Arabidopsis thaliana: one gene and its partner. The protein of the gene in region 1 purifies or fractionates together with the protein of each later gene. This does not show direct contact. Each region holds a gene or a part of one and is shown on either strand. Other genes may lie near its edges.

Region 1 (4,239 bases):
CCATGTGTTTTAGGGGGTTTAAGCAAGTAGAGTAGTAGTAGTACAAACAAACAAACAAACTGCTTATGAGAACTTTGATTGCTCACACATGGGCTTCATTAGGTTTGGGCTTGTGTTTATTGTAGTCTCTAACAAGAGAAACATTGATAACCGAAACTTAACCTACAAATCTGGTATCGAGCTTTTTAAAGGACACTTAAAAAGAAAGAAAAAGAAAAACTTGTGACACCATAATTTTCTAGATTCAACTCAGCCGTTGGTAAAGCTAGAAAAGTAGAAAAGAGACAGAGATTTAGGTAAAGATTCATATGAGCCATGTTACATATCTGCAATAATTAATTGTTTGAAGATAAATAACATAAACATGAAAGACCCTAATCATATATGCTATTTCCCTAATTGTAAATAGTGAGTGTACTACTTCCATAATTATGTTTCATAAACGTACTAAATACCAACTTATCTCTTTATTATAAACCATCACCATGAGACAAAGAAGCTATTCAGTAAAACAATAGACTTCACTTCAGTCTACCTCCAAAGCTTCAACCACATTCTTTTGATTTCCCTTGAATGCAGGACCCAATTCTTTCATCTCAGGTGTAATAGCAAGTTTCTGAAATATAAGAGAATCACATGAAGGACAAGTTATATAGATAGAGGTGGAAATGTCGAGTAGCTCAAATTACCTCTACTTCTATAGGCTCTGCAAGTTTCTCTTGAGCCACAAGAGCATGGCCACTTTTTTCCTGCCATACAACAAAGAGTCCACAATCTACTTAAGTAAATATAAATAGGAACACCTACATATATCTAGTTGTAAAAGGTGAGTTTCTTACGGAGTGAGCACGTAAGTCGTAATCAGACCTATCTGCAATTCCAACACATTCAATCCAACCATATGAACACTCAATTTCAGCATCCCAACAATCGGTTGCATAGTGTGCCATTTCATTTGCAAGATGATGACGGAAGCGCAGGCGTTCCTTGTCTATTCCAAGACGGATAAGGAAAAGATACACTCTCCCAATGAAGAATCCTAGAGTCTCACTGTTCACATGCCCTAATACATTTTCAGTTGTAGAGATCAGTATTAGTTTTTTTTTCTTATCAAAAAGGAGGTAAGCGAATATGATTACAAATACACTGACCTTAGCAACAGCTTCGCCAAGGCAAAGTCTTTTTGCAAATTGGCCAGGTTTTTCTTGTTCTTCTCTTGGAAACATAAGGAGTTCAAGTTTTGCTACATCAGAGAACTTAGAATGTGACTTATGCTCAGGGTGAACAAAGTGCTCAATTTCTGCCAGAGTGAATTCACGAGTTCTAAGAAGCCCTTGACGTGGAGATATCTGCGTGAGAAACAAAGATCCCTTAAAAGAAAGATTCAGATAAACGTATACAATATATCAACTAGTAATATTGAAGGATATTCACCTCATTCCTAAAGACTCGACCAACTTGAGCCACGGCAAACGGAAGTTTTCTCCCATTCAAATTATAATAATCCTTGAAGTTGCAAAAACTGCCTTGAGCAGTTTCAGGACGCAAGTAACTGAAACACACCAACAAATAAATAAATAAAACTCAAGAAAGAAAGAATTATTACATGGAAAAAGACTCACCCTATCAACGAACCACTTGCTCCAAAGGAAGTTTGAAACATCAAGTTGAAGGGGCGAGGAGGATGAGAAAGTGGATTCTTCGTGACTGGAGCTGTGGAGCAGTGATTCCATACTCCACCAAGCTCTTCAGCAGAAAGATCTTCCACATGAGCTATAACTTTATCCAATTCAGCAGCATTCTCAGCAGAGATGGTAGGATCTTTCTTTCGGTTTTCACAATAACTTTTGACCAAGTGGTCCGCACGGTGAAATGCTCCATCTACCTCATCCTTGACCATAAGATCAGTGAACTTTTTTACATGCCCAGATGCGTTGAAAACGGCCTCTGGTGTCAAAGCTGTACAAGCAACCTCCATCATGTCCTCTTCATCAACAAAACACTGTATATCAAAGAAAATTCAAAATCAGCTCTTGTCTACCGAATTGTGCCAGAGATATATGTGAATGAATGAATGAATCCTCACCTTACGCCAGAGGCTAAGTATATTAAGTTCAACAGTACGACCATGAGGACCGAAATCGTAAAGTCCAGCGACGCCATGGTAGATATCGAAAGATTTATGGACGAACAAAAGCCGATCGAGAGTTTTGACCACTGCTTCCCGAAAATCCTCACGGTCCTTCTCGACCGCGGATTTCTCAGGCTTGGATTTGTTGGGAAGCTCAATCGCAGCGTTGGTCTCTGGTTTCGCTGCGTGGGAGTCCTCGAGAGTTCCGACGGCGAGTTCTTGATCTTCGACGGCCAAGGATTTCTCCCGAAGAAAAGATTGTTCGGGAGCGTCCATCGGGATCTGAATCGGAGCCAAAGTGGTTTGGAATCGTCAAGAAAAGTGTGAACTTGTCCGCTCACAATTTTGGTCTAGCTAGGGTTTTAATATGGGAAACTTCAGCAGGGTTTTGTTACTTTAGGATTTTTATTACAATGCGAAACTTGGTGCTCAAGCGATGAGTTTTTAAAAAAAAATATAAAATCTCTATTCGTTCTTAAACATTTTAATTGTAATTTCAATTAAATATTTTTTTAAATATATCTTGCCTATAGTCTATTGTATTAATTATTTGTATTTAATTATATAAATAACAATCATAAAATCATAAATATTGATAATCTTACTTTCCTTCATAACTTGCCTAATTGTGTTACGTCCTCCAAGATCGAGATTTCTATCCGCCTGCATGGCTGCATTATCATAAAACTTGGATTTAACTAACCCATTATTCGATATCAAAAACTTTTGAATGTGCTTTCCTCTGGTTTAGTCCATCTCTGCATCTAAACTAAAACCTAAAATAGTCAGTATATATGCACGATGGCGCTACCAACTGCCCAAGGATGCGTCAACTCTTTGCTTCTCTAACTTGTAACTTTGTAATCCTTAGCAAACTGTAAAAACAATGATCCTTCATACTTTTTTTTCTTAATGCAAACACAAACAATTCAGACCATAACTGGATGGACTGAAATTTGTGACCAAAATTTAGAAAATTAGCAGTAGAATGGACGAAAATATAACAGAGAGTTTATACTTTATAGCCACTTCGTCTCCAAATCTGGTATCGAACTTTTTACGTGACACTAAGAAACAAAACATTAAAAATGAGTAGATTCAGCAACAATTAATTTAACACTTTGGTTTTTAATTCGGAAAAAAACAAGGAGCTAGCTACTCGTCTGCAGCAGCAGAAGAATGGTGAGGGAAGGTTGCCCAGACGTCTTGCCACGTCATTTTCCCCTCTGAGACTGAGCTCACAACGGAAGCTGCCTCCTTCAAGGTGACTCGGACTTGATCTTTGCTGTCTCTTTCTCTGATTGTCACTGATGTATCCGAGTCCACTGTTATTGCAAATGGCACTCCAAGCTCATCGGTTCTCGCATATCTCTTCCCTATCGATGTACCTGTTCACACACAAACACAACAAATCTTTACTTGATTTGATCCATTTCAATATTTCAAAAAACTTCAATTCTCAACTTGTTTTTACGTACCAGTGATGTCAATCTTATGGGAGATACCGACAGAGGCGAGTTCCTTGGAAATAACTTTGGCTACTTCCTCGAATTGTTGGTTCTGAACAAGCGGGAAAACCGTGCACTTGATGGGAGCTACAAGAGGAGGGAAACGGAACAAGTTCAACTGCTCATCCCCTGCTTTGCTTGGCCTTGTGCTGAAACAATGCTCATACAGACAATATATGATCCGACCAATCCCAAACGATGGTTCAATCACTGATGGAGTGAAAACCCGCTGGTGCTCTTTCTTCTTCTCCTTTGATATAGACACCATGTTTTTCTTGATGTTCACGCTTTTCTTTAGGGTACACACGTAAAACTCCACTTCCCCTTTGGATTCCAGGGTTGCTTTCATCTCCATAGCTTCTTCCTCATTCATCGCCTAACAAAACATTACACGAAGCATGATATTTATTCTAAACCATCACCATATTATTAAAAAAAAAAGTTATTCAGTAAAACAGTTAAGAGTTCAACCTCCAAAGATTCAACCACATTCTTTTGATTTCCCTTGAATGCAAGACCCAGTTCTTTCTTCACAGGAGTTATCACAAGTTTCTGATATAAAAGATAACCATGTTAAGGACAAGTAATAAAGACAGAGAT
Region 2 (5,479 bases), on another chromosome or scaffold:
TAAGTAAATGTAAGGAGGCAAGACTCATCTTTAAGACTTGCATGTATGATAACCCTGTTTACTATGAGCCCCTTCTTGCTGGTGAGGCTAGAGCGATGGCCAAGATGTTGAGCGAGTTGTTGAACGCGGAAAAGGAAGCTATTATGGCTGGTGAGCCTGCAGTCATTGCGAGGGCGTTTAGCGGGTTGCAAGAAGAGAATGCTGAGCCAATTCTGCCTGCTGAAGCTGCAGCGATCGGGAAGGCGTTTCGCGAGTTGGAAGCTGGAAAGAAGAAGGAGAAGGAAGCAGAGGGATCCGAGGGTAATGAGAGTGATCATCAGAATCAGAATTAGGTAAAGCTTTTTTTATGAGCATATTGAGACTTACATTGATCTGAATGAAAATTCAAATTTCGTTACTCTTAATTTTGTTTAGGTGTGTCTTCTTATATACACCATTGGTTATGTAATTTGGATGCATCTATAAAATACTGTCGTAATCACCTTCTTCTACAAAAAACTAAGACCATTTTAATATACATTTTGATTTTTTTTAAGATAAGACTTTGTGCAAGAGTTTTTATCCAATGATAGAATCTTAAGTGAGACTTGAGTAGTACTTATGCTCAACTTTTGAAACAAGAGATAGAAGTAAAAGAAAGAAGCACATTCCTTTGGCACATAAAAGTCATCAGCAGTGGTCTTCAGGATCTTCCGCAATACGCTTCAACATGAATAGCAGCCATACGGTCCATGAAGTGATCAGTGGTAATCACTGCAAGATGATCTTCAACAAAATCTTCAATCTTCTTCCAGTCACGATCAAACCTAAGAAACAGAGAGCAGTAGTATCATCAGCACAATCAGGTCCTGCTAAAATCAATATAATACTTTTAAAAAACCACACAAGTATAAAATTATTACAGTTGAAGTGCTTCAAGAAGCAGATCTATTTAGCTAATCAAAAAAGATCAATTAACTCAAGGAAGCAGATCTTTTTTAGCTTAAGTTACTACTGACCTAACACTATCATAAACTTCCCTCTCGTTCACTTATGTATCTGCCTTGACATATCAGTTTATATCCCTAAAAGCCAGCAATAATATTGAAGGATCTAACACTAAGGAAAACTAAAACATGCATTGCTCGCCAATCCAAACAGAAACTCACCAAATCGTAAGTTTCGATATCATCCAAACCAAACAAATTGAATGCCTGGGGAGAGAGAGTCTTACTGAGGAAAAATGCTTCAATTAGCCCAAATATTAAAGTCCCAATATAAGGAGACTTTTTGTTAAATTTTTAGCCCGATTAAACATAACATTTTTTAATCAGCATGCAATATTTTCATTTAATGTGCTCGGTTCTGTCACGGACACTGACATGTAATTTTTCATTTTCACGGGTGAGATAATTTTCAGACAATATTAGAATTTTTTTCTTCCCTTTGTAGTTATTCGAAATTATGTTATTGTTGGGAAGTAATGAAAAAAAACTCAACAAAATTCGATTTAATACCTATCCATAATATTATTGATCCTAAAAATAGAAAAGGATAATTTTGCTGAGTCAGAAACGTGATATTCGCGACGTTGTTTCCGGATAAAGAGTAAACGTACGACTGCTTTAACTCACCTATAAAATCACGACCGTCGATTTCATTTATGTCAAGGGGCAAAACTGAAAATCACACAAAAACAAACAAAACTTTGCTTACGTCACATCATTATCTGTGACTAATTCTTAATCATCATCATCATCATCACTTACTTAAATCTAAAAAAATCTCTGTTTGTATATATATTATCTTTGCGATTTTTATCCAAATCTTCCAAAGCTTAGTTTTTTTTTTTTTTCAATTTCTCTCTTGCGTTTTCGATTTTATTACAAGAACTTTGTTTTGGGCTTCATCCATCGTTCAAGGTTCGTTGAAAACTATGAAGAAAGTTGAGTTTTTTATGCTCCTTCTCTGCTTCATCGCAGCGTCATCTCTAGTGGTAAGACTTAATAATCAAAAGCTCGAATTTTTAATGTTCTTCCAATCATTGAAATATAATCCGAGATTAAAGTTTTTAAATTTGATCTTGATTGGTGTGTAAAGTCTGCTGATCCACCAACATGTCCTGCTGATTTGGGAGGCAAGTGTAGTGATTCTGATGACTGGCAAGGTGATTTCTTCCCTGAAATCCCCAAGATTAAGTATGAGGTAAACAATGGTGATGTTTCTCTTTAAAACTGTTGGTTTAAGTTGGAAACTTTAGTGGATTTGTTGTTTGCATGTGTAGATGAATTGGTTGTTGATGAATTTTTTCAGGGACCTTCGAGTAAGAACCCACTTGCTTACAGGTGGTATAACGCTGAAGAAGAGATTCTTGGGAAGAAAATGAAGGTACTTTTATTTTCTTGTTTGTATTTTCTTGCAACAATTTTTGAGTTATGTTTTTATGGATTTGAAGAAACGTGTGGGATGTTTGTTTGTTGTCCTGAATTTTTTGAACAGGATTGGTTTAGATTCAGTGTTGCGTTTTGGCATACTTTCCGTGGGACTGGAGGTGATCCATTTGGTGCTGCTACTAAGTATTGGCCTTGGGAAGATGGTACTAACTCTGTGTCTATGGCTAAGAGAAGAAGTAAGTCCAGATTGTGTTTTTATGTTAGTTTCTCTTCGTTATCGAGTTACTGTGATTTGAGTTACTGATTGTTGTTTAATGCAGTGAGAGCTAACTTTGAGTTCTTGAAGAAACTTGGAGTTGATTGGTGGTGTTTTCATGACAGAGACATAGCACCTGATGGCACTACACTTGAGGTAACTCGAGCTTCTGAACTTACACCATTTTGCTTTACATTGAAACTACAATCTGCTTTATTGCCTGGTGTTATAAACCATTTTGGTCCTGATATTTCCTTTGCAGCTTGCTGTTTCTTGTGGTACTTGATAACTTTGTTTTGCTCTTGTTGGCCCAATGTTAACTTGTTTCAGTCATAAAGAAAGCGCCTGTAACCTGTTTATACTTAATCTGCAGGAATCTAACAAAAACTTGGATGAAGTTATCGAACTCGCCAAAGAACTCCAAAAGGTGATTCAGTTTGTTAATTTTCCAGTTCTTATTACACATTGGATTTTGGAAGATACTTCTTGTAGTTAATCAATTCTCCAATACAGACTCATGTATGCCATTTTATAATTGAATCTTTTTATCACTGAAACAGTACTATCTTGTTACCATTCCTTAGTTTGATGTGCTAAGAAAAAAAGGTTCTTCGTTTTCTTCAAATGCAGGGGAGCAAAATCAAACCATTGTGGGGAACAGCTCAGCTTTTCTTGCATCCTCGTTATATGCACGGAGGAGCGACCAGCTCTGAAGTTGGAGTGTATGCTTACGCTGCTGCTCAGGTGAAGAAAGCCATGGAGGTAACACATTACTTAGGTGGTGAAAACTACGTTTTTTGGGGTGGTCGTGAAGGTTATCAGACACTCTTGAACACTGATATGGGAAGAGAGCTTGATCATCTAGCCAGGTTCTTTGAAGCTGCTGTTGCTTACAAGAAGAAGATTGGATTCAAAGGTAAGTCTACTGCTTCTTTTTCTTGTCCTGTATTCAGTCTTATGGGAGTTATTGCACAATAATCTTCTTTTTATCAGGCACGCTTTTAATCGAGCCCAAGCCTCAAGAACCCACCAAGCACCAGTATGACTGGGATGCTGCAACAGCTGCCAATTTCTTGAGGAAATATGGTCTTATTGATGAGTTTAAGCTCAACATTGAGTGTAACCATGCCACGCTCTCTGGTCACACTTGTCATCACGAGCTTGAAACTGCAAGAATTAATGGTTTACTTGGCAACATTGATGCAAACACTGGCGATGCTCAAACTGGTAATTTTTCAATTTCAGCTCTCTTGATTGTTAACACCTCCTAACCAGATTCTGATTGAACAAAGTTCTCTCATTCTCTTAACAGGATGGGATACAGATCAGTTTCTTACAGATGTTGGAGAAGCAACCATGGTTATGATGAGTGTCATCAAAAATGTATGTAATATTAAAGAAACTCGCTATTTTTGGGAATTTCATTGTAAATTTTTGAATGTAAGCTCATAAGAGCTTCTGTTTTTCACATATGAAACAGGGTGGGATTGCTCCAGGCGGCTTCAACTTTGACGCTAAACTGTAAGAGCGATTCTTGATTCACAATGTTTTACTGTTTCATACAAAATTAAACCGAGAAAGAAGCTTATAATGTTTGGTTGATTAAACAGGCGAAGAGAGAGTACAGACGTGGAAGACTTATTCATTGCTCATATTAGTGGAATGGATACAATGGCTCGTGGACTGAGAAATGCAGTCAAAATCTTGGAGGTTAGTTAAGATATGAATAGATAAGTTTTATAAAAGAACCAAAGAGTGTAGCTTTAACTTGGTTTCGGTGTGGTAAAGGAGGGAAGTCTAAGTGAATTGGTACGCAAGCGATATGCAACTTGGGACTCTGAGCTTGGGAAGCAAATAGAAGAAGGAAAAGCTGATTTTGAGTATCTTGAGAAGAAAGCTAAAGAGTTTGGAGAACCAAAGGTTTCTTCTGCTAAACAGGTACAAGTTTCTTGCTATTAATTCTGGTTTTGTTTCGTTAAACACGAAAAACACACAATGATCGATGTCTTTTGAAACGAAATCTGCAGGAACTCGCTGAGATGATTTTCCAATCTGCAATGTAAGAAGAAGAACAAGAAGGCTTTTTATGTTTATTAAAAGTATCGTCTTTTTTAGTTTCCCTCGCATCTTTGAGAAGTTTGAAAACCAAAACATTGGAAAATAAGATGATTAGAGAGGTTGGTTTCATTATTTCAGTTGATGTACTATGGTTTCACACTCTAATTACTTTAAATTGAATAACAAAAAACTGTTTAGGCCTTTACTTTGATTCAGTTACGGTTTTTGTGACAAAGACCAATGAGCAATTCCGATCTATTTCTTCACTCGACTATAGTAAAGTTTGTAGGAGGTTTTATACGAGAAAGTTTAAAACAGCGATATACATATATACAATCAAAATTCTTCTTACCTTATGAAAATTTGAAAAGCAATATATGATTTTCACATTAAGCTTTGAGTTTTGAGTTTGAAAACGTTGATTCTTAAAAATGGTCTAACATCAATAAAAACTTTATCCAATTCATTTCGTTTCGTTAGTTATGATTTCAGAATTTTCTGTTGAGATTTAAAGGAAACTCAAAGTCCTAATTTGACAAATTTCTCGACAAAATCTTTGATAGTATTTGATAAGAAAGGTTTGAAAACTAGGGAAACATAGCCTATCTACTTGATGTATCTATGAAATAGTTGTGATGACTTTGTTAATTTCGTATTTGCGACGACCGTGATGTATTACAATAATTGAGTCTTCTATGATGTTGAACCTAATTACTATCCGTCGATGGTTCTAGAAAATTTCTTTATTTGTTGTTGAATGAATTAATTTTTATATATTTTATTCGAAAAAAGG

What was found. The genes of interacting proteins can lie anywhere in the genome.
Region 2: the proteins of AT1G29870 (region 1) and AT5G57655 fractionate together in Arabidopsis thaliana (co-fractionation; one large-scale study listed by BioGRID). This does not show direct contact.

What each region holds. Positions count from the first base shown.
Region 1 is NC_003070.9:10,456,376-10,460,614, forward strand, and holds AT1G29870 (tRNA synthetase class II (G, H, P and S) family protein), read right to left. Parts: upstream 2,408-4,239; coding exon 2,087-2,407; intron 2,003-2,086; coding exon 1,623-2,002; intron 1,553-1,622; coding exon 1,435-1,552; intron 1,350-1,434; coding exon 1,152-1,349; intron 1,065-1,151; coding exon 840-1,064; intron 750-839; coding exon 690-749; intron 617-689; coding exon 527-616; downstream 1-526. Other genes in the region: AT1G29880 (glycyl-tRNA synthetase / glycine-tRNA ligase), read right to left, coding at 3,287-3,519, 3,610-4,015, 4,111-4,191. UniProt on the Arabidopsis thaliana protein: Catalyzes the attachment of glycine to tRNA(Gly). Is also able produce diadenosine tetraphosphate (Ap4A), a universal pleiotropic signaling molecule needed for cell regulation pathways, by direct condensation of 2 ATPs.
Region 2 is NC_003076.8:23,345,115-23,350,593, forward strand, and holds AT5G57655 (xylose isomerase family protein), read left to right. Parts: upstream 1-1,560; 5' UTR 1,561-1,915; coding exon 1,916-1,975; intron 1,976-2,079; coding exon 2,080-2,184; intron 2,185-2,292; coding exon 2,293-2,367; intron 2,368-2,478; coding exon 2,479-2,608; intron 2,609-2,692; coding exon 2,693-2,784; intron 2,785-3,001; coding exon 3,002-3,055; intron 3,056-3,258; coding exon 3,259-3,544; coding exon of another isoform or gene 3,545-3,606; exon of another isoform or gene 3,607-3,621; coding exon 3,622-3,855; intron 3,856-3,940; coding exon 3,941-4,011; intron 4,012-4,108; coding exon 4,109-4,149; intron 4,150-4,238; coding exon 4,239-4,338; intron 4,339-4,416; coding exon 4,417-4,566; intron 4,567-4,655; coding exon 4,656-4,691; 3' UTR 4,692-4,951; downstream 4,952-5,479. Other genes in the region: AT5G57640 (GCK domain-containing protein), read left to right, coding at 1-332; AT5G57650 (eukaryotic translation initiation factor-like protein), read right to left, coding at 683-806, 1,149-1,171.